Linked DNA regions of Neodiprion lecontei. The protein of the gene in region 2 binds, or shares a complex with, the protein of the main gene of each other region. Links are inferred from orthologs where the notes say so. Each region holds a gene or a part of one and is shown on either strand. Other genes may lie near its edges.

Region 1 (17,874 bases), on a different chromosome or scaffold from region 2:
AGATCACTGGTATAAGTTACAGGAAAGATTTATAGCATTCTGGTTGTCAAACCACTATGAGGTTTGATTATAACTTCTGCTCAAACTCCTATCTAGTATATCATAGTGAATTTCCAAAACTGGCTGGTAATTTTCCGTGTAAAATAAACAGTACTGCATTACAGCAATTCCCGTAGAAAACTTCTCTAATACTTTACTCTAGATACTTATACGATGCATTCTTCGATTTTGAGTACTTGGGATAAATAAATTAAGTACCGTATACCTGACTTCTATTATCATAGTGAAATTCCGAAAGTGACAACTAGTTTTCTGTATACAATACACGCTACCCTGATGTGAAAATTTCGACTAAAAAAATGCCCAGCAGTTTTACTCCAAATACTCGATGCATGCAGTCCCTGATTTTGGATACTTGGATGATTGAATTAATTACCCTGAATCTGAGTTCGCCGACCGGCGGCGCGGCGTAGGGAATGCCTTTAAAGGAGAGGTAGGATCCTCCGGCGACACTCTCGGTCTCGAGGCCTCGAAGGTGGCCCTGCTTCACGGTCACAACTGGTTCGCCCATGTCTTACTCTAGCGACTGACTGTCGACGACGCGTTGCAGACTGAAATCGAGTGACTCATAGAACACTCGCACCCACACTCGTATAACATTTCTCGTCGGCTCGGTCAGTCGCCGTAAGAGATGAGGACCAGGTCAGGAGAGTCCAGAATCTTATCAAACTGCGAAGCTGCCGCGTGTTTATCGACTGCACCTTGCACCCAGAATCGGTGCAAGAGAAATAAAAGTACACTCAAGAGAAGGAGAGAAAAATCGTCGAAATGCTTGAATTGCACTTTCTTCCTCATTTTTAAACTTGAGCTAATTAACTTCGTCACTTTACCGATTTCGTGACTGATTGTGAGGTAGGTGTTACGATGTAATTCCGACTCTCGCCTCCGCTTCGAATGATCACACTTTTTAAACTCAATGTCAACCGGGTATTGTATTTGCATGGCAACTGCTGCATTTTTTAATCCGCTATCAAGGTCGGTACCGCAATAACAAGTGATCCAAACTTCTTCGAGGACCGTCGAAACCGTTGCATGATCGCGACCCTACTAAAAGTGTTTATGTGTTGAATCATAAAATGTTTTGAAAGAATTTAGCGTTCAATTTATTACATGATTTGATCTTATAAGTTCACTAAAATATCTTGATCTCGTGTAACTGACGAATTTTGCTTTTGTAATTTATTGTGTAATTTTTTATGCCATTAAAATATATGAGAGATCACACAATATGTAAGTTACAAAAATACGAATCAACAGATATACTGGACCAAAAATCATAATACATCCCACTACACAGTTGATGATTCGTACCTTTGTAATCTGTTATGTAATTTCTTATATATTTTATCGAATTTATGAGATAAATCATGTAATAAATTACATGCTGAACTCTTTCAAAACATTTTATGATTCAACATATGACCATTTTCACGTGGGGAATTGCGGACCTTTTCTTTTATATTTTTACACTTGTATGCCGACACAGCTCAAGATTCGTGCACGTATCACGAAACGCTGGCTGACTAATATTTATTGAGCGTCACTAAAAGCAAATATACACACAGTACATGTATTACACAAGCATGCAGCCAGGTGTCGTGAAATGCTAATAATCAATACCAGCCGCTTTTTTGAAAAAAAAAAAACGAAATAATAATGGTATCGACTTACCGTTGTCTCATACAATGAAGCTTTCCAAGGGTCGAATATATTGAACAACGTTTGTCTGCAAAATTTCAAATGGCAATAGATTGTTCATTAATGAATTAACTCGAACTTTGATCATTGATGAATATCTTCTACCGCCTACTAGCCAATTCGAAATGAAGTTCGTCATTAACGGTGTGAGTGACGCAAGGTGTATGAAAAGAAATGACATGTTTGCTTAATCGTAGTAATTTTTTTGCGCACCTCGTAAATCAACATTTTCGCCGGTAGGCGATGTGTAACATGCAGGATGAGTATGCGCGGCTTTGCGGTCATACAGCAGCTTGATGTAATTCCCTGTTTAAAAGTCTCTACTAAAAATAGTCGGTTGGCAACAAGTATAAGCACCACCTAGAATTATTCTGAATTTACACAGCGATTATGTGAACCAACACTGACAAGTGGTGGTTTCGTGCAACTTATTGTTGGATCAGCAGAATGATACTTGCAAAATTAGACTTTCTAATGAATGACAAATTTTTATAGACTTGTTGGATCCTGAAACGCCTGATCGATTAATTGTGGGCGTTAATTTTCTTGAAAACGAAGACACGCATTCCAAATAAAAATTCAACCATAACGTCTAATTCATAAAGAGATTAGTGACATTTGCATTTATATCTACTGTTGTAGTCAGGAATAACTTACACCTGCAGCCATCGCAGAATCTTAATCAAAACACTGTATCATTATATCATCCATACTAATCATATAAATCTCTTCCATGAGCTTATAATACCAAACATTAATACACTTTATCCGTTGAAAGTGGTCTTGAAATTTTTCGAGGAATGAATAACTGCTCCGAACTATAAAATTGACTGCCAAAATTTTGTTTCGTTGTACAAACGATAAATATATTACCTCGTTACGTGATTGCCAAATCCATATTGGGATCAGATACACTTTATAGTGATTATATATTTTCAATGATTAATATAATCAACTTTTACACGGTCTTGAGTAAATTACATTAGGAAAATTTTCATTTCTTATAGCTGCTAGAAAATCCTGGTGAAATTTGTACGCTTTGAATATCATTGGAATTACAAGAAACTGGCGATATAAGTATAACTATTTAGTGTGATTATAGTTGTAAATATTACATATTTTGGTTAATGCAATAATAATTCTGCTCCGTTAGTTTACCATATATTAGTCATTCAAAGAACATTTTAACATTAATTTATTCTTGCACACTAACTTCAAATTATCGGAGTTGTTACAAGAAAATATTGTACGAGTGCCACAATCAAAAAAAAATACTAGTACATACTGGCTTTGCTAGTCACGTCTATCAAACTCATTTTCATTCTACACCCAGGGCCGTACCGACAACGTCATTGCGTATGGCGGCAAAATTTGAACATGTGTACAAATTTTTAAGAAAACACTTTTTTCAGAACAAAAAATGAAATGGCCCGAAAACAATCAGTAAAATTTTTAATCCAGAAAGGGGAAAGATCCCATACAACTCCGTAAAAATCCAACAAGTGAATAAGCCCGAGTGCTATAATCTTTCTTAGATCAACATCAACTTTCTGGAGCCTTAAGTGGGTCTTGAGTAAAAATATGTAATAACTGAACGGAGGGAAACGATAATTCAAGTCAAGTAATATTTGCTTGATTCAACTAATCCTTAAGTCAAATACGGCGAACACAATACTTCTTTAATTCAACAAAATATTTTTGTCGGGCGAAATACATATGAGAACATAATATAGAATCGAATCAAGCCGCCTTTGAATGATCATGTTGACGATCATTTTAGTCAAGATAGCACGGCGTGAGTTCCTTGCGATTATGAGAACTTTGTATCAACAAAATGTGTATTTGAAATAACTCAAAATTTTATCCGACGCACCTTAACGGCTGGGCTTCCGACTCTTATTAGAGCCAGGCCATCCTATTGAATAAGTTAATAGTTTTAACTCGATAGATTGACGTGTGCGTAGATGTTTAACTATGATCAGATGCGCCTTATACATATATATTTCTTAAATGTTATTATTAATCACAATTCCAGCGTCTCAACACCTTGCTAATAGATGCTGTATTTCATTCGTTACATCTTTATCGACAGTATTATCTCGCGTCATCCCCGAATCTGCTAAGCGGACTACCCGACTTTATAAATATCTCTGAAGCTATTTCCGTAGCGAGAAAGTTCACCGCCTAGCGGACGTTAATAGTACTAGCATACCGATAATTACGCCGAATATACTCTCTACCTGTTTCAAGCATGTGGTTTTTCTTTTACCTCGTAAATAAATTAGTGCAACTGATTCAACCAGTTACGCCAAACAAGCTTCGGTTAGATAAGAAAGAATGGCATTTAATCGATGTAAATTTTTGTTAGCTAGATTCATGCATTTATTTTACTTGAAGTATATTTACCTAACCTAACCCAATTGTTTCTGTCAACGGACATGCGACTTAGAGGAAAAATACATCAACTTCGAATGCAATGGTATTTAGTTGATCCAATTAGGAAAACACATCAAAAAGTTCACTCGAATCAATAGTTCACTCTATTGCGACAAGAAAGGCTTCAGTTGAATCAAGAAATTCGCTTGACTAAATCATTTTAACCAACTAACTAAATTGAAATTGTTGAAGTCATCGTATTTGGAACAAATAAGGGATATCGGATTGAAGTGAATCAGCTCCAACAAAATCTAGTTTTCTGCTTCAAGAATTCCTTTGCTTTCCTGTAGTTCCGTTAGTAATGAGGCTGAAATCGATCTCACATAATTTCAACTACTCGCTAATGTCGTGGATAATTTAATTTCAAATTAAACAGCTAAGTTATCTCAATCTCTTTTTTTTTCAATACCTTCAGTCCACTGTAATATACAACGAAAATTTCTTATAATGGATTCATAATTTCACTGTCATAAATTTCAAATTCACAATATATTGACAATGATTTTAGTTGGAAAATTTAAATATGGGGCATGCATGCCAACTCAATATGCGATTGAAACTGACCACTTTTGATTTCACCAATTATTATCTTTCTCTCTGAATGCGGATCACTTATAAGTATACCACTGGCGAAAGTCAGTGTATATGCACTGGAAATTAGTGGAATATCAGTGAAAATTTGTAATTGATTGCAGTTTTATTTTTGTTAAATCCCGAAACAAAAACTCACTGTAACGGAAAAAATGGGCAACCTACTTCAATGCGCCTTCTGGAAAAAATGTATCGTGGAATTCGTTAACAAATTGATTTTCTTGGTAGTCGTAAAATTTCTTCTATCGCGATAACAAGTGACTATACTATACTTACGATTCGAGAACTATTACTGCACTGATTATGTCGACAGCCTTGATCTCGTCAGTCTTCAATATCAGGCAATTCAGTAAGCAAGTATTTAATAGTATTCAAGTGCCAGGCTATTGAATATGCAGTGTATGTCAATTTACAGACTGTCTGCAGCGTACGTCACAATATAAGAAGAAGGGTGTTGTCCTTGAGGATGTATAGAAAGTAATTATACTATACACAACATCGATCAAATAGCAGCTGAGTATGCCGAATTGAATATCACAGCAAATGAAAGCGAATTGAATGTAAAAGTGAAACAATTTGACATAAGAAGGGATACTTAAAAAAAAAATTTTTTTAATCTTTCCATACTTGTCAACATTCGCTTTGACCCTAAATCTTTCAAGTTTTGAATCATTCAATTCCTTCTAGCTTTTTTCGATATATCACTAATATCACCTTCATACGATGATAAAGATTAGAAAATACTGAAACTGAAATAATTGTAACAAAAATATCGTTCAACTACATTTCATACAGATAAATGATTATGAAACTGAATTGATGCTCACCCAATTTCAAATAATGTGAATACGTCGTACAAGCTGAATATAATATATTTTTCCTGGTCAATGAATTTGGTCTCAACTTAAGTTAATGTCAATTGAATGATCAGTCTGACGAGAGAAATAATTGAAACACATTATTCTATAAATGACCCGTCTTTTCATTGCACTCAATCCTATAATTATAGTCAATTAAATTTGAATTCACGCGATTACAACTTATACCACACAAGAAATGTAATTGACATCAGAAAAGTAATTCGTTTAAAAGCCAATCTAGAGACAATCGCGTTTTATATTTATCGAGAATAACCATTAATCCTGTCAATTAAAAATTCTTTGGTCGAAATAAGTTTATCCGAATAGATTGTACGTTCAGCTTATGTAAGAAACAAAAATCAAGTGCAAATGGGATTTCTTATGCTCATGAATTAACAGTAATTATATAAGTTGTGTAATAAATGTTTCAGTTGTCAAAAGATATCGCTTTATCATTCACAGTTTCGTTGCACCGTTTTTTGAATTCACAATATCGCTGTGATTGACAGTAATACAAGATTCTTACAACGGCAGGTGAACTTGAGGTGATAAGAGGTTTCTGGAAAGTTGAACTTGAATTTTTTGTTAATCTCCAATAAAGAAAAATGCCTGTTCCACACTAATCCATATTATTTTCCCTCATTTACATTACCTATCCAAGAAATGGAGGCCACATTATAAACAATCCTCGGATATCAAACAATCTTTAGCAGTAAGATATTCTGCGTTTTCAATTATTAGCAAGCAATGTCTCGTAATTAACTAGAAATTTTGCAGGACTTCGTTTTAGGACATATCGAAATTTATGGGAACAACTATAAATTGATTAGAATGAACTGTTTTTTACGCAAAAGTTGATAGGTATTTGATATTGTGACATTGGTGGATGTATATAAAACTACGTAATTAATAAAAAAACATATTGTAACAAGGACAGACCATGCGTATTGCATAATTAGTATTAAGTATAAGGTATTTTACGGCAGGAATGAAATAGTTGAGACACTTTGTATTAGACCTGTTTCTTGATAAGACGTGATCGATAAAACATGGTTTGCATCCAACCGAATTTGCAGACCGTATTGAAACTCAATGTATGATTTAGTTGAGATTTATTTATTTTTTGGCGAATTGTAAATAATGAAACTTGAACATAAATTGACAAGATCGTTAGACTTAAAAATACACATTGTTTTAATCTCTAGCGTTAAAAATTGCGAAAAGAAATGTCAAGGACAATTACAGAGTATTGCAGATGTTTCCTTGTGGCAAGCACAATGCAGGTCAAGACAAGCATTTAATTCTACAATTTTTTTTTTTTTTTTTCTTCACTAAGAAGCGGACATCGACAAATAAATATAAATATATTTATGCATATAAATATTCAACATTTGAAGAATTATATATGTATAGGTGTATATAAAACAGTGTAGAACGCAACTCAGACCTTCGGTAGAATATTAAAAAATCAAACATTGATAATTTGTACAAAGGCATCAACGATAAAGCTTTCAACTCCAGCTTACAAGTATCCATTACGGGTATATAAAGTGAAAATGTATAATACAAATATATAATATGTATACTAATGAATAATATACTGAGAGTATTCGGTGAAACATACTGGTTCAACAAATATTCATGGTTCAAGTCTATGATAATAAACATTGGATAAGTTGGAAGAATCATGGAGGCAGGAGTTTTGTATAGTATACATAGATTCTATCAAAAATATTACAGTTATTTCAAATATTCAAGGCACCAATGTGAACATGCAATGTGAATGCAAATTATTATTATTATTATTAAGTCAAGTGAAAAAGTTATACGATGTTATATATATTACGTTAGATTGTATTAAAAGAATGCAGCAGTTTGGTGCTTGTTACGACGTATACATACATGCATGTGTGTATATAAAATAAGAACATTAAATGAACACAATGTGGTTTCTTGTAACCCATCAGCGTTTCATCTTATCAAGAATAGGCACGACCATATCAAACGAGGGACGTTTACCAGGATCTTCGTTCATGCATATGCGAATCAGCTTCGCAAGATGAGGAGAAATCCCTGGTGGAATACTGACGCGCAGGTCTTCCATAGCGATCTGGAATAGATAAGATTTCGACTCGTTAAGGCAAGTTTGTCATACGGAAGCTGGAATTGCAGTAACTGCATCCGACCTTCATGCCGCATTCCATGGGGGAAAGATCAGCGAACGGTACTTCTCTGGTTGCCAATTCCCAGAGCAGGACTGCAAAGCTCCACATATCGCTGGCCTCGAGATTAATGTCAGAAGGTTTTTTATTCAATGCTTCCGGAGACATCCAAGCGGGTTCGTAAATTCTTCCAACTTCTTGGAATGAAAACTTAGAATCAGCCATGTTTACTCTTGCAGTGAGATCCTCGTCTATCTGGAAATCATGAGAAACATGCTCACTTCTCAGGATTCATGAAACAATTCAATATTTTAATACAGAGTAGCACCAGAAATCGGACTGTTTAATTTTTTTTAATTTTCCTGATTTAATGAGCCTATTTTCTCCGGCTTCCTTGCCATTTTTGCGCCATTAATACCCAATATCATGATTCAAAAATGCTCATATGCTGTTCAAGGTACCTTTTAGAGAATCGTGTGTAATATTAAGTAATTGTTACATCAAAGTGAAAATCGAAAAATTATTCGATTTATTGCAATCGTATTGATATCCAATTTGTCGTCAATTATTATTACAAAATAACTGAAAATATTCTGAAAAACAAAAAGAAATATCTTCCCAATATTTCCCTGCAAAATTTTTAGATTTTATGTCGCCACCCTGTAACGGTGTCTTTCAATGAAACCTAGTTGCAAGATCAGATAACGTACTACGCAGTGTTTTTTTAATTTTTGCTTCCCCTGCTTACCATGACATGTTTACTGTTAAGATGAAATCTACATCTGCTCTGCCTTTCAAGCCCGTGCAGAAAAGCCATGGCCCGCACAACGTCCAATGCTAATCTGAGCGCCCTAGCTGTATCGACAACGACGCCAGTTCCTCCATGTAAAAGTCGATGTAAACTGCCTCTGGCCATGTATTGAGAGACGGTCGCGAGTTGTGGAGGCTGGTTAACGCAGCCAAGAACTGGGAGAATGTTGGGATGAGAAAAAATTCGGAGTTTGGGAAATTCCTCATTGAAGTCCCTTGATATTCTAGAGGTGCATTCTCTGAGGTTTAGTATTTTTGCCACGATATCGTTGTTCTGCCACCGTCCTCTCCAGGTTTCACCGCTCGGACTACTCGCCAAGTGAGTATGTAGCGATAAGTCCGCCATATTGATTCCTTTGTGTCTTGACAAAGTTGCATCCCCTGCGAAAACATGGATTTTCTCATCTGTTTTACTGCAATAGCGAGGAAATGTGAACGATCGCAAGAAACTTTCATTTAGAAAAATCGACCATATCCACGTCAAAAGGCATTTTTTGTTATGTAAATAATGGAAGAGTGCAGAAAATAGAGCTGAGAAGAAGTTAAAAAATTAAAGAGTAAATCTCAAATTAACTTGACGCAGATTAAGAAAAGATACTGACCATTACTAATATCACAAGCATATAAAGGTACAATATTAACAGAGTCGATTGTTTCGAGCCTTTCTTTAATCCACGCCTTGAATCATTGACTTAGTTATTTTGATACTCACTGCTCCTGGTTTTCAATCCAAGCCAACTTTGATCCTTGAAATGAATCTTTTTCAAGTCCTGTCCGTATTCAACGGCGAGATCTGAAAAAACGAAGTACATTTTCTTCATTACTAGGTATTATGTATAACATTTTACAATAATAAAGAAGAGAAAGTATATCCCATTACCATGCAATCTTTTTGCCAGAGGTCCTCTAGCCTTGTCCAGCGGAGTATCACCGTCTTTGTTGGCGATGGAAACCAAAGCTCCAGCGGCTACCAATTCCTCCGCCACCGCCTGATCACCCCAGAAGCAAGCATAATGCAAAGCGGTGTTTCCGTGTTCGTTGGTCACATTGACATCGGCACGATTTCTCAGCAGCTATAAAAAAGAAGAGAATTGCAATTAAAAAAATTTCTCAATTTCACCGATACATATTTTCATTGGCTTTAAGAGCAAATTTTATCTAGCTGATCTATGATAAAGATTTGCAAAAAACTATTGACCCGATCTTTGTTGTTTGAACACAGTTTTTAATTTCGAGACTATTGGGGTGTAACTTTTCAGATGCTCTCCTTATAATAATACAAAGGAGTACGACAAATATCGAATACTAACCAACTGAACAATGTCCTTATGCCCGTGTGCTGAAGCAAGGTGGAGTGGCGTGTCGTCTCCTCTATTCGTTGCATTGATGCGAGCTCCTCGCATCACGAGCAATTCAGCCAACTTTGAATGGCCTTCCTTGCTGCACCAATGCAGCGGGCTAAAGCCGTGATCATCCCTGATGAAAATTAAAACAAATGGAAACAAGAGTTGAATTATATGAATGTTTGAATATTCACTGTTAGTTGGAAATGTAATATTTAAAATAATGCACTGTCCTCAAATTTACATGAACATGAGTCATATTTCTGATTTGTATAATGCCTACCTTTCGGCTATAATCAAGAGCAATAACGTAAACAAATTTCTTGTTGTCGATGTCAAGAAAATCGTCACTGCATATAATATTTGCTTACAATATCAACAGGGTATCACCAAATTTACGAAATGTTGAACTGGTTTTTCCGACCCACGGCGCATTAAATTATACGAGAAAAGGAAGGCAAGACATGAAAATCAAACATTATTCTTTTCGGAAGCAAGTTCGTTTATCAAAGGAGAAAAAGAGTAAAAAAAATTCAATAAGTCAGGTCAGTACAATTTTTTTCTTCACAATTTATATTGTGATTATGATTCAAACATTATTTTAAAAGAATAATCATTTATTTTTTCATGTAGATAAAAGTGACATTCATTTTCTTGTTGACAAAACTGATTTTACAAATTAAAAAGTAAAGTGAACAAGTCGATCATTGTTGTGCAGACAAGAGGAAACTTTGACAAACATTTCTTCACCAATTTTGGCACTCTGTGACAATTGTTCTTTCATTATTTTATCAAATTCCAGTAACATATTTACAGAGGTAAGAGACTGAGGGTAGTCAAATTAGCAATATAAATTCTGTAATTCTGGAATGAATTCAAAAAAAGTAGTTAGCAAAATATGCGTATGTTTCACTATATCACAAATTACTGAAAATTTCAGACATAATAATGTTGGGTCTTCCAAGTACAACGCATATGCATTATGTTTTACACAGTGTAGTAATACGGATGGGTGACATTGGTTTCCTGCTAAGGAAAAAAACATAACAAGATTGTGGTAGAGTTTTGATAAGAAATTTCTCGTACAAAAAATATTATACATTGATGTATCAAAAGATTCGTTATTACAGAGCTTTCATAATTTTGTCCTGCATCATGTAGCGATTATTCCGATTCCTGCAATAATTTGGAAACTAGTGACAAGAGTTTTAAAAAGTGCTGAAAACACGTCAAGATCAGCTGATTGCGAAACTGCAGCGGACTTCCCAGCGTTCAACCATAAATGGTAATGAGCAACTCCCATGATCTTACCCTTGGTTCATGTCATGTTCGGTGTCATCGAGCCAGACGCGAACTTGCATCGCGTTTCCTTCACGGCACCAGTGAAATATATCCTCCATTGTTAAAGGGGTTTATAACAATTAATTAACGCTCTCTAAAAATAATATAGCTGGCCGACTCCGTCACGTCCGAAAAAGAGCAACTTCGGTCACGCTCTAAATATAACCATATTTATACGCACGTATATCAATGATTGTAATAAACTGCAATTAGCTACTGGACACACCAAACGTATAACTCGACGATTTTAACTCTGGGATGAGAATTTATGAATCGTTAACACTGTCGATCGTATTTCTAACTCCATCGGCACACACCCAAATATTGTGTAACTCTTTACGCTGACATCTCTAATTATAAATCACCGTGTGCGATCGTGCGATGTCGCATGCGGGATCATATCGCTGCTTCCCAGATTCATTCGTCTCAAGCTTCTATGAATTGTCTCTAGATGGCACTGCCATGATCGACATTCCGATTTAGCCATTGGCTAAAGAACGCTCATGATGGCCAGCTCAATAGGGCATTTTGAAGAAGCGAAAGGGTGCGGAAGTAACGGCAATGCCCTACGCTTACCGACTGCTTATGCCTGGTCTACACGAAGGTTAGAAAGTCTTGTTAGCCATCAAACGGAGTAACGAGAAGAACTTAAAAACTGTCAGTTAGTGTTTATAACCTCAGTAATACAATATATGAAGCAATATAATGCAATGTTCTCCGCAATTTTATTCATTAATTAATAATCACTTACCTATCTTTTATTTTTCATTTTTTGAATAGCTTATAATCAACATATCTCTCATCTGTAATTCGAAACTCATTTTGTTTGTTGTAAACTCTGGTGATACTTGAACATGGATTATATTTTCATATCAATAATTGTTCAAGTAATAAATATGTACCAAACTTGGTTACGGCAAAATGCCGACCGAGGAAAAGAACAAAGCACAAAGAACGGGTTCAAACCACGCGAGATTTTAATCTGTCATTTCGGTACGATTGGCACTACTTCTCGTTGAAAATTGAGCTTAAAGTGGAATTCAGAAAATCTTTGAGTGGAAGGCGCTTGAAGTTCATATAAACTCGGCTACACATCAGCTTTAATGGAGGCGCACTTTAAGACCCCCACTTACAGCGTATGTGTAGACCAGGCATTACGGAAATGCAGCGTTTATTTGTCGACACGGACCACAGCAACGACACTGAAACCTACACCTGCTATCCTACACGGCCTACACGGCACAAAGGAGCAGCGAGCCCATGGAGACTAGAGTAAAGGAGTCCGAACGCATATGGCGGAATCGTCGAAAAGTGGTTCGTGAAAGTGATGAAAAATCTTGTAGACGGGATGTATCCGCAAGCGATACCAGCGCCTGGTTACGAATAGGATACATACGTAGGATCGACGATTCAAAATCACCGCGCTGACGGAGCCTGCAGTGGTAGCGCTGCCAGGCGGTTACAATCCGCGGATCGTTCATCACTTTCACCGATCATTTGGCTAGCATTGCGTTCAGACTTCTTACCTCTAGTCTCCATGAGCGAGCCGAAAGAGATAGCGTCATAATATGTCACTGATATATATATACACAATATGTAGCTTCATCTCTATCTTACGGCATTGCGCATGCGCTCGTGACGGTATCGTAAAGCATCTGCAAAAAGTTAGGCTAACACCGGCACCACGGTGTAAGAATGATATGGAATAATAGGTGGTACGGCTGCGGCTCGGCGACTGTGATTTCGAAGTTGGTTAAGTGTGCTTACAAAATTGTGCTTTTCCGAGTATCTTATTGCATTAACGTTATGAATTTCAAGCTGCTAAAACTTGCGTTTTCATCAACCTACATAATTTTCTCTTTTCACGCTTATGCTTTAGATCGTTTCGAGTACGAATTTTCACCCATTGTGGTATTCTCATAGTTATGTAGTAATGCATGATATATGATACAATTTCATCCTTGTGTTATTCGCAAGGAAATGAAAATCTGTACTTCTGTATCATATCAGACACAGTAGGTTCATATACAGATTGATTCTCAGATTCTATGTGCTTACAGAAGTATTTCTCAATTGCTAATGAAAGAGATAACAGAAATATATTGCCATGAATTGAACCACCTCTGGTTTTCATATTAATCGATTCTTCTTCGCCAAGAGTATCATTTTCTTTAACTGACTGAAAGGCTTTGTGACATACTTGACACTCATTTTGCTTTCTCAATTTGGGGTACAAAAACCCAGTCACGTGATATATTTTGCAATTGACAACCAAAGCTGCCACATAATCATGGTCAGTCTTTATATATCCCATAAACTATGATATATTCTCAGTCAACGCACACAGGCCTGGGAACTCTGCTATTTTTAAGTGGTGGAGATTGTTATCGTAGTGTGACCAAACTGTTTTCCTTGTTTGCCCACTAATTGCGCTGTCGTACCAGAGTATTGTAGATACAGATATATAGCGGGGCAGAAATTGGAGCATTTGGTGGAGAAAAAAGCGACTGGTTGAGGACAAGGAATGGGAGTGATGCGTGGAAACACTATGCCAGACGGGTAACAATAACGATCGACTATGGGAATGAATTACCCTTGGCTCAAGGGATCAAATTCGAGTGAACTGTGAAAAAATCAAACCATAATTTATGCAGGTAGAAATAACAATGAAACAAAACAAAAGAACTACAACACTATTTCTGTACAAATTTATTAAATCTTCCATTATGCTTACACATAGAAATTGATTAGTGAGGATGAGTGTCTTTTCATGTTGTTTACCTAATCCAATTCAAGTCTTATAAAATCGACTTGGACATCAATGGAAGTATTTTTGTGAAACTTGTACGCTCCAGGAAGATCGTATCGTAATTCAGCGACGATTTTTGCCGTTGTTCCAAGGCGTTTTGCAGTCCTAACCACATGATCCCGGGTGCTAGTCTTGTGGAGAGAGTAGACGGCATGTCAAGCAATACTAACTGTTGTCTCCAAAAAGTTGACGTCCGTTCTAACATTGCGTTTTGAGCCAAAAGGCAGATTCATCACAACTGGGGTCACAGTGAACTGCCTCGACATCAGTTTCTAACTCAAGGCAATTAGTTTTGAGCATGGACAGCGCATCGGCATCAATTTCAAATCCGACGACATGACTAGTGCCAAGAAGTCGGGCCCCGAGTGATAGTACCCCACACCCTGCACCCAAGTGAGCAATAGCCTTTCCTCCTATATCGTCAAAGTGTGTGTATGCTGTGTGCAGGATGTGCGCCCCGATGTGAGCGCTCGTGGAATATTGTTCAAGACGAATTTTTGGCTCTTCAAATCCATCTAATTGTTGAAGACACTCTTCCAGCTCTCTGAATCGCATGGGTACCATTATAGTCACAATAACCATTCTTGTATATGCCTGATAGTAGTTCACTGGATCTCAAACCTCGGGAATACTGGCAGGATCAAGTTACCAAAGGCCGAGTCCTGGGCGACGAAGAACCCAGTAGAGGCTTCATGTGCGTTCTGAAGGGCTGCACTTTGAGAAGCACTCAATGCTATACCATCCACCGTTGTTGCAGGATTCTGCTGATAGTGTAAAATATTTAAAGTGCGATAGTGTTGCGATCCACGTGAATTCAAACCACAGTGTAACAATAATAGGTGGTCGGGCTGCCCTATCCCCGCAATGCCAAGTGCTTGTGATTATTTTAGCATAATTCGTTGCACGCCCACCAGATGGTTACAGATCTGTAGGACCATTGTAAACAATAATGGCAAAACGCAGTGTTCAAAACAAATCAATAACACGATATTTATAAACTATGAGAAAAAAAACATTATTTAAATATGGGCAGGAGTCATGTTTGTCATCAACGTGCGCAAGACGAGTGTAGGGAAGATATATCTTTTTTCACCGTTCCCAAAGCAATCGAAATATGTAATAAATGGAGAGATACAATTGCTCTTACTGGGATAGTTATAAAAAGGACTCAATATGTTTGCCAAAAACATTTCAACCCCGATCAAATACTTCTGTGAGCACATAGAATCTGAGAATTCCTTTGTATATGAACCTACTGTGTCTGATATGATACAGAATTACAGCTTTTCATTTCCTAGCGAACAACACAAGGATGAAATTGTATCATATATCATGCATTACTACATAACTATGAGAATACCACAATGGGTGAAAATTCGTACTCGAAACGATCTAAAGCATAAGCGTGAAAAGAGAAAATTATGTAGGTTGATGAAAACGTAAGTTTTAGCAGCTTGAAATTCATAACGTTAATGCAATAAGATACACGGAAAAAGCACAATTTTGTGACTCAAATATTGTTATAATTGCAAAATAAGCAGGACACAATGTCTTAATCAACTTGGAAAATTATGTAGTGCAGTTTACTGTTTTTGAAAGGTTCGAACCCTCAAAGTTGAAATTTGTTTTCGATTATTCTGTTGCGTCAACGTTACGAACCTTAACCTCATAGGTTTATTATGACTTATATTTATTTTGTATTGCTTTATGTTTCACATATTTTATAACTTGTTATTATTTTTGGTATTTTATGTTTTCAACTGCAACTTCTGCTCATATTTTTGTAAATATGACACGCTCATCTCATGATTAACCTAAAATTACCCTCCTCTCTTTCGAACACCACATGCCGCCATCATTGTTTACAGTGGTCTTACTGACCCATATCCGTCTGGTGGAGAAGTACAGAATTATGCAAAAATAATCACAGCCGGGCCACCTATTATTCCTACACCGTGATTCAAACAAACAAAACATAACCTAACCTCACTTCAACCAACCTAATCTTATCCGAAACTAAAGGATTCGTTTGACGGACGTACCTCAGTCGCAGCAGGAGTAGCGGGTGATACGTCAAGCGGAGTCAAAGAAGTTCCAAGAGTAGGCGTAACGCCCTGCTTCAAAAGTAGCTGCTTCTTCAACTGTATTTCTTCCAGTATTTTTCTGTTTTCTAGTTCTGGGAAAAAACAATAGGCATACGTGGAGTCGCGATAATTTTTGGGACTTTCAATTTACACATAACCATGTATGAAGTATCTCACATCCTTACCTCTAGAATTTGGTTGCGAAAAAGCCATTTGATAGGGACGTCAAACTTCAGCAGCCGAACGCTTTAACGTAATATCACACGAGACACGTCCAACTCCTACGAATTCTTAGCCACAACTAGTGTGAAATCAGATGGCGGCGGCCCAACCAGTGTACTGATAATTGGCTGCGACTGTAGCGCTAAAAAGCGTGCCGTGGTTGAAAGCAGTACTAAACTCTGAGCAGTTTCCAGGCCATCGACTATGCAATCCCAGCATGAAGGCCTTCGAAAAGTGTCCCACAGAAGGAATGAGGTGGGGGTCAACTGCTTTCTCTCTCTGTCATATTGCTACGGTCCTGAATAGAAAGAGACAGAGATTGACCGCCACCAGTGGCTATCTCTTTCTACCAGCTGGCCGTTTTCTACTGGCCTAAGCGTAGTCCATACTGTCGATATGCCAGGACCTGGGTTAAGGAGGGAAACCGGTTTATGAGGTCAAAATTTTGCTGTTTTTCATGATTTTTTTTAACCAGGAAGGAATAATCACAAATTGTTTAAACTTGGAGGATATTTTATTTATGTTTTCAAGTACACTTTAAAATTTTTTCAAACGATTTCCGCCGGAAATAGTGGAGTTACCGCGTGCAGTCCATGGGCGATTGCCATCCGAGCATTTGGCTGGCGTACATCCCTGACGTCGCAATTTTTATCTGTAATCATCAGGATTTTTTTTTTCATTAAAAACATATTTTCTAGAAATATGAACCTAGTTTTGATCAAACAAATTAAAAATTGCATGTTTTTGAGGTGTTTGAACACAATGTCATGTTTTTATACTATATTTTTTCATCTTTCTTGCATAAAAACATATATTTTTAATAACAATCTAATCCCCGAATTTGGTTCATGTTACGTGGAATTGAATAAAGAATATCTGCACCAAATTTCAGAACGATTGATCAATAAATTTTTGAGCTAGAATGTACGCTAGTCGAAAAAAAGTCGTTTCGAGAAAAACGCGTTTGAAATAAAATGTAGCGAAAACGAGAAATTCAAGGCAGTAATTAATTATAAAAAATGATCACCGGTTAATCAGCTATTCCAGCACCATATAGCAATCCCTCTTCTTGCTCATATGCGTCATTCTATTATTCGATAGCACAGCGGTATTGAGACAGGTAGCTGGAAAAGAAGGGCCTGGGCGACCGCTCCGTTATAATTACCGTGCGCTTCTTCACAGAACCGACGGGTGGTCACTTAAGTGCTCATTGCATTCGAACTAATGAGAATTTTGCTTTGAAATTTTGACCACATATTCTTGAATAGTTATACTAACGATTCATGCAATAAAAAAAAAGACGATTTTTCGATCGGTCTAATCTGGTTTCCCCCCTTAAGACCGCGATCAGCTATCAAAGATGAAGGGATGTCTGTAACGATCATAGACTTAACGATGTAATTACGTATTTATACTAATAGAATCACTGCAAATACGTTCACTTGAATTATATGTGAA
Region 2 (15,493 bases):
TCTCCAACAATATCTGACAATCGGGATGGAAGAAATACTCTAATCAGTACTCCAATATCGAATGAAAGTTGACTACTGATTATTAAAAACTGAAACACGACGTTCTTAGTTGCTTAATTTGGCAGAAAAACAATTAGTTAAGCATTGCAAATAAATTTCTCTGAAACGCTAGATGCTCAGAAATCTGGATAGGTGTGATGTTTACGTTTGAATAGTGTGCGTAACTTGGCTTAACTTGACTTTGACAAATTTTTGAAAATCCTGAGGAATAAAACGAAACCAGCAAAGTACATAAAAAAAGATGACGAAGATTTATTTACGGGTGAATATAAATGTTTTACACTCGTGAAGGTTCACTCTCTCCCCGCTTCATAACCCCTGATGAATTTTCCACGGTACATCAAAGCAGCAAACCCATTCCTTGGGGGAAGTCAGAATCCGTTGTGGTTTTCATGCATACCTATAGTTGGGTAGTTGCCATGCATTAATTCCCAAGGATCCGAAGTTCGAGCTTTGAGTCTAAGTGGTCGACGTTGAAAAATCTTTTAGGATATGCTGTTCAAAAATTTGGTGCGAACAGATTGACCAGAATTTTCATCAGCCAAAAAGCTTAACGAGGAATAAGTAGCAGTTTCAAACGGAACATGATGACGATGAAACGTACAACGAAAGAACTGAAACTCGATCATCTAATCCTAGTTGAAAATTCAAATTCCATGAGATAACTTAATGAATACAGTACCTGAATATTTCTTCAACAATGACGGTTATGCAGCAATGCTCGGTTAGGTATTTAAACGGCCAAACAAACGCGGCAGGTTACTGATTTCCGGTTTTTATCCAGGCGATGAAGACCGTGACTTAAACGGCAAGTTGAATTTGGCGGCTTTTTTATCGGCCGCGGCGTTGCGCTGCCGTCGGTATCGCCAGCTCTGATCTTCAATCGGTAAGGTAGATTGGACAAAACTAGCCCTGGTTCGACAATCGCACAGGATACTGACTCATCGTTGGAGCAGATACCTACTATCGAGTTTTAAGCCCGGGGAATCCCTTGAGTTTGAAAGATGCTTGTATTTTTAAAACCTGAACCACAAATGGATCACGGATAAGACACACTGCGATGAACACGCAGATTTAGTTTCACGCAAGTTATTTGGCACAGAAGTAAAACTGTCGCTGCCGTAACGCGGCCCAGTCATTGCTTCGTAAAATGCCTGAAATATTTTGCGGGAAATAACAGTGACATTTGAATCCGGTGTCGAATGATGCGGACATACCTCATTTATAATATATATTATACGGGTACATACGTACCAGGAATACTGCAGCGCCAGGAAGATGCAGATGCACATCGTTGCCGCTATAAAAGGTGGCGGAAATATCAAATGACGTGTTATTCGACTAGCCTGCTGTTCCACTAATGAACTTGTAGAATACGAATTATGTACTCCTGCTTCATTTTCTTTATTACACGACTAACAATAAGATTCTCTGATCATAGACGAAGCATTTTGATGGCGATGCCTTCGTTGAGTTCATTCCAAAATCTTTCTGTTCTCGAATTTTATTCCTACGATATCGGAAGGGGATCTAAAAAATTTGAGAGAATTAATGTCCGATATTTCGCGCGTATTTGCTTTTCCACGGCAGCGGTTCAATGAAGGTTTCTGTATGGACGAGCTAATAGAGGGAATGAGGAACTCTGCATGGTTACGTGTAACATGATCAGAATACCCGGCCATAAGAGATCCTCAAAACACGACCTACTTACTGCTCTACTCTTCTCTCTTCCTCTTCACGTTTCGTGTATTTTCATTTGAACGAACGGTCGGAGTGGCAAAACTTTACGTTCAGCGGCACCGCCTATACTCGGAACGTTGACCGGAAAAGTCTGCAAAGTTATGCTTCGCAGTCCTTCTAATCGGCGCGTACAATGCCAGATTGCTCTGTTCTTCGACGTTTACAGTTTTTTTCCTGTAAAGATGTCACGTCGCGTTTCCGTATTTCAGTTCTCTCGCAAATATTCTTTGTAGAGCGAAATGGCAGAATTTTTTGCAACGGTTACCCAAGACGAATTTTCGGATCTCATTATTGAACTTCAAAGACTGGGCAAAAATCTCGATTTCGATATTGGAGATTCTAAGGTGAACCAAAAAAATTGAGACTCGTTTGACCCTCAGAAGCTTCGGCTGCAATATTCTTGGCTTACTCCTGAATTAGTCCATGAAATTTTCTTTTCTTGTGTTCAACTATGATTTAGAATATTTAGAACTTCGTGGTTCTATTGAGTCAACCTGAGTTGCGGGAATCTGCAGGGTGTAAATGATACCTAGATTCGAGTCGGCATATCTCAACAATAAACGAATAAAGGACTAAGAGGTTTAAACGAGTTATAAAATTTCGAGTTAGGCATGGTTTCGATGTAAAAATTGCACGGATAGTTATGTAACGGTTGAAACGCCATATTAATAAATTTTCTTCCGGTATTCTTCGAAATCGCTTCAAAATTCGATTGTTTGAAGGATCGAGGGCCCATCTTGACGGACAAAATTATCCGGAGATGACGAATCAGGAGGAGAGACCCAAACCCACCGCACACGTGTGAAGTGATTCGGGTCAGGTTTGAAGTTTGCACGTTGCAGACGGCGGCCACATGCCGGGGAATACGTGTTGCAGATTTCCAATGCGTATGTATGTTAATGCATGTCGAGACGAATGGCATGGCGCAGTGTAAGTTCTGAGAACCTCGGTTACAGCCTTTGCGTGCAGGGCAGACTAAATAAAAGGCACAACGACGCGGGCGCGACGTCTCGGCTTGAGAGAGAGAGAGAGAGAGAGAGAGAGAGAGAGAGAGAGAGAAGAGATTAAAGAAGGAGAGTAAAAAGACGAGCTGATCGTTGTGTATGCAAAAGAGAAGCTAATGTGAGCCACAAGCGTGTGATGCATGCATGTATTGAGGACAGACACTCGCAGTCTCTGTAAGACTCGAACTTTATCATTAACATCATGGCCAATTCCCTCTCTGTAATTCATACCAGGTTCCATAAGGACTTTGGGCCGCATCTATATTTGGCGGCAAATAATTTGCATCTGTTGCGCAACGTACGCAAATGGAAATTTCGACGGGATCTTCTTATACCATTCGGTGGTTTGTACCTCGATGTGTACAATGTTCCTGTAACTATTGCTGAGGGAGAAGAATAAAAAAAAAAAAGAATACTTGACATTTTACATTTATAAATGAGCGTTGTGATTCGCGCTTGTATATTTTCACGTTTTTTCTACACGATCTGTACTTACTTTTATACGAAAGAAAAAAATGCCAATAAATTATGTTCGAACTTGTATTCTCGGGCAAAATTTTCATTCCGTACAATAAAATACGTTATTGTAATCTGAAAGTTTGTAATACATATACCGTGTTAATTGCGAATGGACAGAAAAAAGATGCTACATTCATCTGCACGTGTAGTTTCTGAAACTTCAAATAAACAATTCGTATTCATGACACATGGGTGATGGCATAATTTCCGAGGTACTTAGTTCTTTTCTTGTACGCAGAGTGAAATAAATTTTTCCTTCAAAAATACACAAATTTCTTTCTGTTCTCGCTTTGTGCTTTACGTCCGGTAACTAGGCCTCCGCTAATTGTTCATAATCTATGTATATACGAAACGGTTTATTCTTGTATATTTGTTCACCTGAGATTTATCACCCGGAGAAATATTATCGATTGGCTCGCACGTCCGGTGTGGATTTTTTGCAAATATTAAACGTGCGAGGTACGCGAGAAACAGAGGAAATAAAAGTAAGAATTAGTGAGTCATGGAGACGGGTGGAGAGAGGAAAGCGGAGCGGCGACTGGGCCTAGAAACACGACCGTAACCCTAAATTTTAAAAGCTTCGTATATGTAAGAACGAGGCTGCGAAAGAATTAGGAGCCTTGACTCCGTGTCAAAGTCGTAAAAATGGTTGACACTATCGAAAATGTCAACGATAAATCTCGATTATGACGCGAGCTAATCCGGGGCTGGGGATGTGTAATAAACACATCGAACGGTCCAACGCAACGATTTAAGCGTCGTGTGTGACAAAATATATCTATGCAATGGCAACATAATTTCAGACCTGCGTCTTGGGCATATGGTGATGCACGCGTGTTTAATGCACGCGAGTAATGAACCAGTTGAGTATTATTCGACAACGGTTAGATCATTTCTCGCGTCCATGTTCCCGCACTTTACGATTCGTCGCTGTAAAACTCAATAATGCGAGTCGTCAGGTCGTGACACGGTTCTGTAAAGACCAGGATCCCTTGCCCGCTTACAAAGGCTCTCAAACACAGAGTTTCCGCCTATTTGTACCTGCTCAAATTTGAGTTTCGCGCCGTTGTCGTAACGTCATTCAGCACTAGCGACTCGCGGATCGTTCTCGACGAGCCGCGGGAAATTTGAAACTTGTCTAAGAACTATGAATGCGCGAGCGTGGTTATAAAGAAGAATTCTCGTCGATCAAGAATTGGGTTAAGTACTCGAAGATAATTCCCGAAAGTCGGAGCGTCGCGAGACCATTTCTGTCAAAGGGGAGTGGAACAACTGAGTGAGCCCTTTAACCGCAATGTCAAAGTTCCGAATTAAGGAGCGAATGAGCAAACAATTAGACGGTGGCATGACGCATACGTCATCCAATTATCAATGTGCAACGTTCGATGGCGCACATGCACTAAAGTGCAGTTCTTTGCCCGACGCGTATGACCCGAAATAAGAGCAAAGATGTTTCCACCGGGTTTAATTGTATGTAATAAAAGTGCAGGACGGCGCGTCTCTCGATGTTAATTGTGCAAATTAGTGTATACATACACGCGCATAAACAGTTTGAAAAGTATCTCAATTGAAAATTTGCATATGCGCCAGAAACTGCAGTAGCAGCAGCGGTAGCAGCGACGAACAGAAGCTGGTAAATTAGTTTCACAATTTAATTCCTAATTAGACTAAAATGAAGTTTAATGTGTTTCGCATCGTTAACATCGGTGTAAATTTTTTCATAAAATTCATACAAATAACGAACGTTACATCATTGGTATAATTTTCCTGTTAATTAGCTAATTCTTTTTAGCATAGAACAGTATGAAAGATAAAAAAAAAACGCGATTTTAGTATTTTTCGTCGAATCTGTAAATGATTCTTCTTCTTTCGTTATATCATGTATCATGTTTGTAGCAGATAGTTGTAACTTTGGTTGCACAACACCGTAATTCGAGGGTCAAGGTCCAAGAAATAAAGATACATTTTTATCATGTTCATAGCTTGTTTAATTATACATTTTTCTACTGGATTATCTCGCTCGTCGTTTTACAACCCGTCGTACGAATATCGGTCGGTGAAAAATGCCGGTAGGTGTTACCGTGCATATATTCAAATATAGAGGTGAATAGATATAGTTTTTGCATAATTTTTAATTATTACTCACCAGTGTATTTTGCGCGTGTATGCATATTTTTAAGTAAAGATAATGCCCAAGTTACAAATCTGGCCAATAAACTTGTCTAGACGTAATCGTAAACTTCGTGTCTCACTCCCCTCGGTTCTTAAGCTCTGAATTCTCTATGACCCAATGAAATCGGAACATACAATTATGTATTCGTAACCTTTCCATTAGGCAATAAGTTTTTTTTAAATATCTTTACGACACATTTTTAATTGTGATATACGCGAAAAGTGAGATACACTCTAAATTTGGAATACGGATGAACTTATCAACTGTACGTCAACAATGAAGTAGCGAAATCGATCAGACGATCAAAAAGTACTAATATATATATTTGTCTGGCTAGGTTCTCACTTTTTGCCCTATTTTTATGAGCTTGTATTCATACATTCATCTCTCGAAAGCCTTTTTAATTTTCTCCTAACAAATTAACGGAATGTGAGTATAATGTCGTTAAATTTGAGGTTATAGATACAACGCGCTCGTGTTTTCGTAACCGGTTTTCGGTATCGTTACCTTAGACGTTAAATTATTTATCATTTATACACCTAACAATTAATACAGATCGAAGCTCGTCAAATTAGACTTGATTGCTGATCATTGAATTATTATCAAATCTGTAAAATATGTTTTGCCACAAAGCGAACGCTAGCTCACGTTTCGGTTAAGATTTCAACGGCTTCTGCACATTGATTTATTGCAAACAAAGTTGAGATGGATTCTACGGTACATGAAAAAGGTTTCTGTACTAGTCGAGGTGACTGAAGTGGAAATTGACTGTATGGGATGTTTTCGAAAATTCATACAATCCCCATATATCAGCGCCTAAATCCAATATGGCGGTTCAGATAACAACCATCGATAGCTGTGAAGTTGGTTCATGTCTGCCTAGAGTTTTGGCGCGTGTTTCGAGCGCGGTTTCGGTCTCAACTCCAATGTGTGATAAAGTATAGTGAAAAAAATCGCTATTCCGCACGCGCGGAATCCTCGCGTCCGCGGTGGTCCGCGTACCTTATATTCGCGATTCTTAGGCGAGTCTGACGCACTGGTAAAACTATGTACGTTATACCTAATATTAGCCCCACAGTCAAGTAGGTGATTAAATGCCTGCCGTATAGGTTTTCACGCTCGCCGTTCAATGCGGCAGCCAGCTTCTGTATAATACACATGGCGATATATCTATGAATATCATCTATACGATTTCACTATACAGAGTGGCATTCCATCGAGATGAAGAAGTAAATAAATAAATGTATGAATAATGGTAAGCGGATTAAAATAGCGGTCAGACTATCGTTCCAAACTCTACAATTGTCATTAATTCGGAAACAATTCCCGAAGTTTGCGTATTGCTCTTGCAGTTATTTTTATAGTGGTACTCTACGATTGAACCTTCACGAACATTTTATCGCCTCGATTGAGCGGCGATTTATAGTTATAGTTTATATTTGATCTTTTTTTATTTTTTATTATTTTGCACAGTTATAAATTTGAGACATTCAGAGCTTGACACTTGAAATAGTTCACGGCGCAGTTCAAAGATGAATAGATAATCGACGATGATTTATAAAACTTGACAATTGATGACAATTTATAGGTGGATCAAGATTGGTGGGCGTAAATCACACGTGTGAATCCAAAGATATCCATTTCCGAAACGGAATGCTGGAATCTATTCCGATATGAATTTTGAAATAGTGATTTTAAGCAGGTTCCACAGTTAAATATCCGCAGTACTTGCTGATAATTTCATTACGAATTGGTCGCACGTTGCGTGTTTATCAAATTAACACATTCGTGAACTACGGTGATTTTTTCGAAGAAGTAAAACATAATTTTCAAAAGAGAGGACAGGTAACCATTTTTTACATCGAATTGCCTCAAGATACCGAAAATTTTTGTGTATTCTTTCGATTTCACTCTGCATGTGACGAGTGATTTTATCCTGAAATCAATTTTCGCTACAATCCCACTGTGACAGTTTTTGCTTCCTTATCACGTTGGTACCGTAAAACATGTAATTCCGCAATACCGATCTGACATCGATTCGGCTCAACAAGTAGCAATTAAAAATTGGACATTCATCGAAAAAAGAAAAAACAAAAAAGAAATCCACTTCGGAAAATTTCTAAGTAACGACTTTTCAAAGGGCGAGAACAAAAAAAAAAAAAAAAATCATCAGGTCGTGAAATTGAACAAGTCTAAAACATTTTTCATAAAATCGATATCGAAATTGTGTCTCATAATTTCAGCAACTTTTTGCTCGTTGAATTTCTAGAATACCCAGCATCGCAGCTTACGAACGTAACAATTTGTTGAATGCTCCGTGAAAGCGTTTCCAAAAAATCTCGATATTCAATCCGTCGCAACGTTGCGAAAATCGAACGATCGAAGGGTAACGAACCCGTTGAGTCGGTGCTAAACCGTTTGGCGTAAACTGGTCCGGACAGAAGAGGATCGTCCGGCACCTTGACCGGTAACCGGCTGAACCGGCAACGCGCGCACCGAGCGTTCAGAACAGATCGGATCGGACCGTCGCGTCGTCGAGTGTGCGGCTGCCGAACGGAGCGGCGGGGCGGCTCCTGGAGCGAAAAGCGATGCTTGCGAGGTGGCGCAGGAAGGGGGGGGGGGGGGGGGAGGGGGGATGGACGAAGGAGGGGGCGCCACAGCCGAACCTGAACCTCGGCGGTTCGCCGCAAGGGGGGGGGGGGGGGGAGGCGAAACGGGTGGAGAGGGAACCACCACACGGGGCTTTTGAAAATGTTTTATCTTAGCCGGCGCGCACGGCTCTCAGACGCTACCCAACGCCGGTACGGTGTGGTGTGATCGTTGAAGCTGCAGAGCGTGACGACGAGCAGCGTCTGCGGTAGAGAGATTCGTTCTAAGGAGTCGGATTCGATCAGGTCTGCAGCGAAAAATTCGCGGGGTTGTTACGGAGCTGGGTGGAGAGAGAGAGAGAGAGAGAGAGAAGGTAGAGACGGCGGGTAGATTAGGAGGCGCGGTAAATTTGAAAACGGTTACGAAGGAACGACCAGTAAACAGGAAAATACGTCAACCATGAACCGTTGTCGCTGAAAAGTTTCGACTGACGGTTCGAAATCATCGCGCGGGTTTCCATCGACGGTTTTTCGTACTGCTGTCGCGGTAATAGATATAAAAAAAAAAAAAACAGAAATAACACCTTTGACCAGGCTGTCGAACCGTTCGCTTTTCGGCGATCGGTAATTCGCCCTTTCGAGATGACCACCAACGGCAGTGTTTTACTCAGGAGTGCTCTTCTCGCAGTGCTACTCGCCGCTTCCTTCGCTTCGGCATCCTTCGAAGAGGTGAGTTCATTACACACGTTTCTCATCGATATAGAACTTGATGGATGTATGTGTATATAGGTATATATACCGTCATCGCGATGATTCTACAAGAATTGTAAGTCTGGTTTTAGAAAATCGATAATCAGTTTTATACTGTATTTCCCTCCCCACGATTTACCTCGAAAAGTGCCGGGTCCTTCTTAAACCCGACAGTCAACGTTTTCATTCAATCACATTTCGTTCCTGAGAACCATATCCGTATGGATAATAAATTGTTCTTTCAAATTTGTCAAATTGCGCATACACAGGTATCGGTTAAATACCAGAGCTTGATAATCGATCACCCACCAAGTACTCGTCTCGCTCTATTTCCATCCGAAAGTGCAGGCAAAGAGATGTTGGAAACAGGTTGAAACCGATTGAGAAAATGAAGAATTGAATAGTACGAGTATCCGCACCATTTCTTTTAACGTAACCGTATCGCAATTCCCGCTGTATAATCACTTTACAATATATCACGACGAAAAGGAACTAAAAATATAATCGTACGATAGAAAATAGGAGGAAAGGGGAAGGAGGTAACTGGGCCGCTTATTAGGTCGGACGATAACGATGCGGTTACATCTGCGGGGCTATCGATCACACGTGCTTTCGTTTTATCGATGACGGATCCGAGCGATTGTGATTTGGGAATCGCAGAAATCCTTGTTGCGATTACACGTCTGCAAATGGCCTCCGTTGTACGAGCCGCGACGGTAACGTGAAGGGTATCGACACATACAGTCTAGAACTCGGATTATCCGTCGTAGCAATTGAAGTGTAACACACTCAGGGGTATCCGTTTCTACGTCTCGGACTGCATCAAGTTCGACGCACCCTCGAGTTTGAACAGAATTAAGGCTTCCTTCATCCGATCATCCTGCGGCTGTCGCTGATGGATCAGCCCTGGTCTCCGACCGGAAGTAGCAAAGTGCGAAAATTCCCGGAGACACTGACAAAGCGTCGAAACAAGTTCGCGATGATAGTTCGGAGATGAAAGATCGTTGCGACGCGTGGTTACCTTCTACTTAATGAGAACGGAAAAGCAAGGTGGGGATAAAAATGTTAGAAATCAGAAAGATTACCGCATCGGTTTCTCTAAAACGCGAAAATCTATTTTGTACAATGATTTCGAAGTATGTGCAGAAAATTCTGCTGTATTCCAAGTCATTCTGACGTTTCTGCATCGTGGTTTGGTTCTGTACTTTGATCTTTTCACATTTCGACATTATGGATTTGAAAAATACTATAAATAAAAATAAATCTTGGCCCTATGACCCTTGAATTTTATGGATCTCTGTGAATCTCTACCCCCACCCGGAAAATCATGTAGGAACAGAAGGAATGGGGAAGTCTTATTCTCGCGTGCATCGTAGCACGTGCGTCCGGCATTTCTGGTGAACCTCTGGATATCGAGGTCGATTGACAGGTAGCTCGGGATTTACCTCCCAAACAACATGGAGACGCCTATTGCGTGGCAGCCGTGAACATCTGTATCAACATGTGCCCAGTACCTAAAACCGACGGTATTGAAACGATACCTTTGCGGAGAACGCGGTTCACAACTGATTGTTGTGAACCGCAATTTGTTTAGCAGTACTTTTACCTCGATTGGAAGTATGTCGCTCGGTTGGTGTCATGTTAACTCGTAGGCAGCGTAGGTTTCTTCTTCGTCTGATACCTAATAATGTACCTTAATTAATTTGCCCGAAATACGACGGATCGTCAAAATTTGACACTTTCCATGATGGGCAGAAAATTGGCCCACGGAAATTACTCGACTCAGAGACGTGATAGCATATCGCATACACGCCACATCTGGTCTTCCTCATTAAGTATTTCGCAGTGTTATTGCATAATTCGTTCATCTGGATCCGATATTTTCATCTGATTTTATGCTATTTTAAGAATCTTGAAGATCGTGAACGATGATATTTGGAAATTGAGGAATTGAGCTGCTTATTTATGGTTTTATTTTCGATCTTAGTCTGCGTGTAATCAATACCGATTTCAAATATAAAATAGGTAAGAAAAAGAGTTCGCTCTCATATTTCGTTCCTCGAAATATCCTATACCGTTGAAGTTTCGTTCGCTAAAATAAGGTTCCATCAAGCGTAGCTTTTTCGTAATCAACGGTAAGATAACAGGCCTGCGGAATAGAACTTTTAATATCTCCCGAATAGTAATAATGCTTTTTTCTAGGTATTTAGATATGCTGAATTAAAATGTAGCGAAAGTTTTTTTTACACCGTATCGAGATTTATTCTTATGCAAGATACGCATATTTATAAATTTTTGAACAATGTTTATAAAAAAAAAAAAATATATCAAATGTAAAACTTTTTAAGTATAAAATTAATGGCATTAGTTTTAAACAACACTTAAGAGACTTGTGACATCTTTTTCTACTTTCTTCAAAATTCCTGTTCAATCTTTTTCTCTTGTACTTACCTTGATCTAAATATGCTTAACGTCCTCATAAACAGCAACTGAGGGTTGATAAATATTTAAATACCAACATTACCATTAATACATATAATTGCCACAGAAATTGGAAGCGAACTCTAGTAGTACGAAGAATACAGAAAAGAAATGTAACAAAATTTACGTGATAGAATTTATTGAATATCTTTTTCATAGATTCGTGCCTAATACCTACAGAAATTACTACTCAATTTTCTAGGGGTAGAAAACCGTCGCAGGCCTGTGTAATCGAACCACATTTTGGCGGTGTAATTAGATAAAAAAAAAAAAAAGATAGGAGATAAGAACGAAGAAGGAGAGAGAAAATATGCGGCCTGGAATTATACATTTGCGATAATTCGAGTTTAATTCAATTAGATCGTTTTTCGGAGTCTACATATAGATATTTGCGTTATGTATGTATATATATAAATATATATATATATATATATGTGTGTGTGTGTGTACAGGTATGGATTTTTATATTCGCGATTCGCACGTACAGCGATTCGACTCGAATGGCATATTATTCGGCCAGTTTCGGTGATCCAAGAAAGTAGGTGGCGGAGGGGGGGGGGCACCTAATCCAGGTCCCAATTATTGTCACCGGTCCAACTCTTATAATTAACTTTTCAATTAGCCGAATTACATCCGTCATTTAACCCTGCGCTGCACACTGTCACATCCCGCCTCCTCGGTCGTCAACCGAACAGGACATAAAATACGGGGATGAATTAAGTGAAAAGGAAAAGAGTTCCGGGGAAAAAGGGGAATTGAAAAAAAAAAATTTTTTAAATTAGAAAAAAAAAAAAAAATAAAAGAAACGTCGGAATCCGTAATAAAGAAAAGGAGAGCAAAATCGAATCAGCTGACGATCGGTCGCCTCGGATAGGACTTTTTTTTCACCACATCCCTAGGACTCCGTTTAAAACCACGCAATTGACCGCGATCGTCAGAGTAAAACGGAAAGATTAATCATAGCGATGAGAAACAAGCTGCGGTTTAACCCGTTTGGAAAAAAAAGCGACGGAAAATGCAGACGAAGGAAGAAAGAAAGAAGGAAAGAAAAATCGAATGCGTATATATGAGAGAGAATGGATCGAGACGCGTTTGGAGATGTTTCCATGTGAAATTTGAGACGAAACTAAGCAAGACGGGATTCTGCCCTGCATCTGCACCCCAAGTCTGGCACTGTTTGTGTTCGTAAAACGCCTCGACCTTGGATCACGTCTGGGTTTGCCTGTCGCTTATCCAGTCTGACGGATGAAGGTCTCCAGGCAGCCCTGCAGGCTGCAATAATTGTGGTATCAATGCACGAGCTAAGAATTACAACAAAATAATCGATTTTCGATAAAATCCATTATTTTCTCCCGATTAATCGATTATCATCGATTATTTTTCGTCACAATCGTTTTTTGTTTCTTTTTACTCCCACGGACGGTGCGATTCGATATCAATTAATGTGATTAGAGTATCAATTATTATTCTAAGTATTACTTATCAAGTACCTGTTTGATATAGTAAGTGAAAGATAAGTGAATATTTTCACCTGAAATTGAAAAATATTTTTTATGAAACTATAAATTATCAAAAAACTTTACCGCAATTAAGACTACGTGCTGAAATTTACGAAATTTGTGGTTTCGTATGCGCCGTTTCAAAAAAAAAAAAATACGATGTAATCGATTAATCGATTAATTTTTACCGATTCAATCGAGTCGTGCTCGATTATTTTTTTCGACTCGATTAATCGACGCATCGATTATTATTTTATGCTTACGACGATCGTCGCTATTATGAGCCGGTCCGTAAAATGTTGACACCTTCTTCGGAACAATTATTCGTTCCAAATCAGAGTCACGTCGATTAGTTGTGCACGTCAGAGTTCTGGAGGTTGGTTGGCCAGAATACGATAGTTATAATTAATTTTTTTAACGTGATAGTCGCACAATGCGTGCGACATTCATCAAATTGTTGTATGTATATTCGGAAGCTACGAAGACCTTTTAAAATAACAAAACCCGAAAATACTGGAATTATAAATACAAGGTTAGAATTACCGATGCCTTATTTTAATCAAAATACCATCTCCTCCGAAATCGCCGAAACGGATTTACTTTTTTTTTTTTGCAGAGGACAATTAGAATCGTCATTTGTCGATTATAATCAATACCGACATATATCGGTAGGTACTTCAAGTATTAGTTTCGATGAATAAAAATCGTGCGACGACCTTCGGACTGAAAAAGAAAAAGAAATCAAGAATTTCGAAATTGATGGATTCTCGGACTTTTTGTTTGTGCTGAAGCCGTTGAATGACTTGACTGATTTTAGACAAATTTCATTTAAAAACTGAAAGGCAGAGAATTCGAAGCTTGAAATTCACGAACGGTTTTTGCAAACCAAAGATTTGATTTATATTATACGAATGCAATAAAAAACGGAGATTTTATCTTATGAAAAATATGGTGATTTCGAGACACAATGTTAGGATTTCCGTTCTGAATGCGATTCTTCTTCCGTCGCTCAAATCGCAAAATCCCTACTATCCGGGCTTTTATTGACCGGGTCATAGGACGAATCGCTTATCCATAACACGTAGTTATTTGCGAGCCAATATAAACGCAGTTCTTTCCCTCGAAGGGTAGATTAAAACAAACTTAATACGTGAATTCAGAACTAAACGAGATGCGAAGAATCCGTTCATCTTCGACGATTCAATTATACTTGCGGTAAGAAAGTTTTTCAGCACTTGACATGCTTCTTTAACTTCTTTCTTATAAATTGTTTTTCCCGATCTCTTTTTACCTATGCAACTTGTTCACATCACCCTTTTTCTTCTTCTCTAGAACGAAAACGAGAATCAAGAAGAAGCCACGCATAATGAGCTCGTATTTATATCGTTGATTATTGTCTACCATTTTTTTTAAATTTATTCACAATTCTCAACAGTCTTAAAATTCGATATATATTCGAAAATTTTCAACTCACGGAATAAACTCTGCGCGAAGATGTTATTTCGTTGATTAATAAAAGGTGATTGAGTTTTAGGTCAGTTTATATCATCTACGAAAAAACCTCTGAAATATGACGAAATTCAGAATGAAGTTTGTAAAATCAGTCAAATTCTTATAGACGTACATCTATCCGTGTTCTCTGTAGTATCAAAGCAGTTAATGACCTCATTGTATGTACAACTACGTAACCACAGAATCACGTAATGAGCTTTCCTCACGCATAGCTGGATATGTGATAAAATTCCGAGATCTGGTTGAAGCGATCCAGAAACTTTTCGAACCGTTGTGGTTTTACTTCGCACAAGTTATTCGCCGAATCGTTAAAATTTTGTCAATCTGACGCAATTCGCGGTCGCCGTAGAGCCATTGTCTGTTTTAAGGGTTTATACCTAATCAGGAGGCCGATAAAAGCGATTTATTGAAGTTTTTTTATCAAGAGACATTTGAATTTATTAATATAAAAATTTATATACATATTGGGGTAAAATTGAACTTCGTTCTGATATTTTTTATTTGTAAGAATAGTGATTTTTAAAGCTGCTATAGCCGATCTCCGCAAGCACTTCTGAAAAAAGGCGTTTTGCGGTGAAAATTTCTGGACTGGAACAACCGAAATGTAAAAACAAAAAAGATCTAGTTAATATAAGGTATTGTCTGGTCTTTGATGGAAAGAATAAGCGAAATATTAATTCATAACAAAACAGTGGCTTCTCAAAAAAAAATTTCGATTTTCCATAAAAATTTTCGCCCCAAGTTGCTTATAAAATGGAAAATATTTACCGGCGATAAAAAAACCTTCGATCAAGGACTGAAAAATATATTCATAAAGCTTGTGTGAAAATTTGAGACTAATCGGTTCAACCGTTTCCGAGAAATCTTGCTCACCGACTTTGAAAACATAGTTTTGAGAAGAACGCATTCAAAGTTCCAAAAGCACTGCCAAAAGCTCCGAGGGCGTCTTTGCAAATTTGCGCGTAACTTCGAGAATACTTGTCGGATCGACATGAAATTTTTTCCGCATATACTTGAGTATACGTACATTACGAAAATGAAATTAAGACACAAAAATAGGTTTTTGAAAAATCCCGACTAATTATAACCCTTTAATCGTCTCGGCCATGTCTTCTGATCAAAGTGCGAAACTATCGTTTGTTCGGCCAACCACGCGTCCTGTAGGTG

Evidence for each region.
Region 1: basement membrane-specific heparan sulfate proteoglycan core protein (region 2) and integrin-linked protein kinase share a complex: the UniProt entries of both Caenorhabditis elegans proteins name them as parts of the integrin containing attachment complex. The link is inferred for Neodiprion lecontei from reciprocal best matches to the Caenorhabditis elegans genes unc-52 and pat-4.

What each region holds. Positions count from the first base shown.
Region 1 is NC_060266.1:7,818,496-7,836,369, forward strand, and holds integrin-linked protein kinase, read right to left. Parts: upstream 11,732-17,874; 5' UTR 11,361-11,731; coding exon 11,272-11,360; intron 10,094-11,271; coding exon 9,928-10,093; intron 9,691-9,927; coding exon 9,498-9,690; intron 9,411-9,497; coding exon 9,330-9,410; intron 8,999-9,329; coding exon 8,556-8,998; intron 8,063-8,555; coding exon 7,832-8,062; intron 7,756-7,831; coding exon 7,609-7,755; 3' UTR 6,741-7,608; downstream 1-6,740. Other genes in the region: esterase FE4, read right to left, coding at 437-571; rRNA N6-adenosine-methyltransferase METTL5-like, read right to left, coding at 14,309-14,692; SOSS complex subunit C homolog, read right to left, coding at 14,716-14,874, 16,153-16,286, 16,380-16,407. UniProt on the Caenorhabditis elegans protein: Probable pseudokinase that acts as an adapter protein. Component of an integrin containing attachment complex, which is required for muscle development and maintenance.
Region 2 is NC_060263.1:40,494,882-40,510,374, reverse strand, and holds the start of basement membrane-specific heparan sulfate proteoglycan core protein, read left to right. Parts: upstream 1-8,275; 5' UTR 8,276-8,726; coding exon 8,727-8,813; intron 8,814-15,493. UniProt on the Caenorhabditis elegans protein: Component of an integrin containing attachment complex, which is required for muscle development and maintenance. Probable structural role in myofilament assembly and/or attachment of the myofilament lattice to the cell membrane.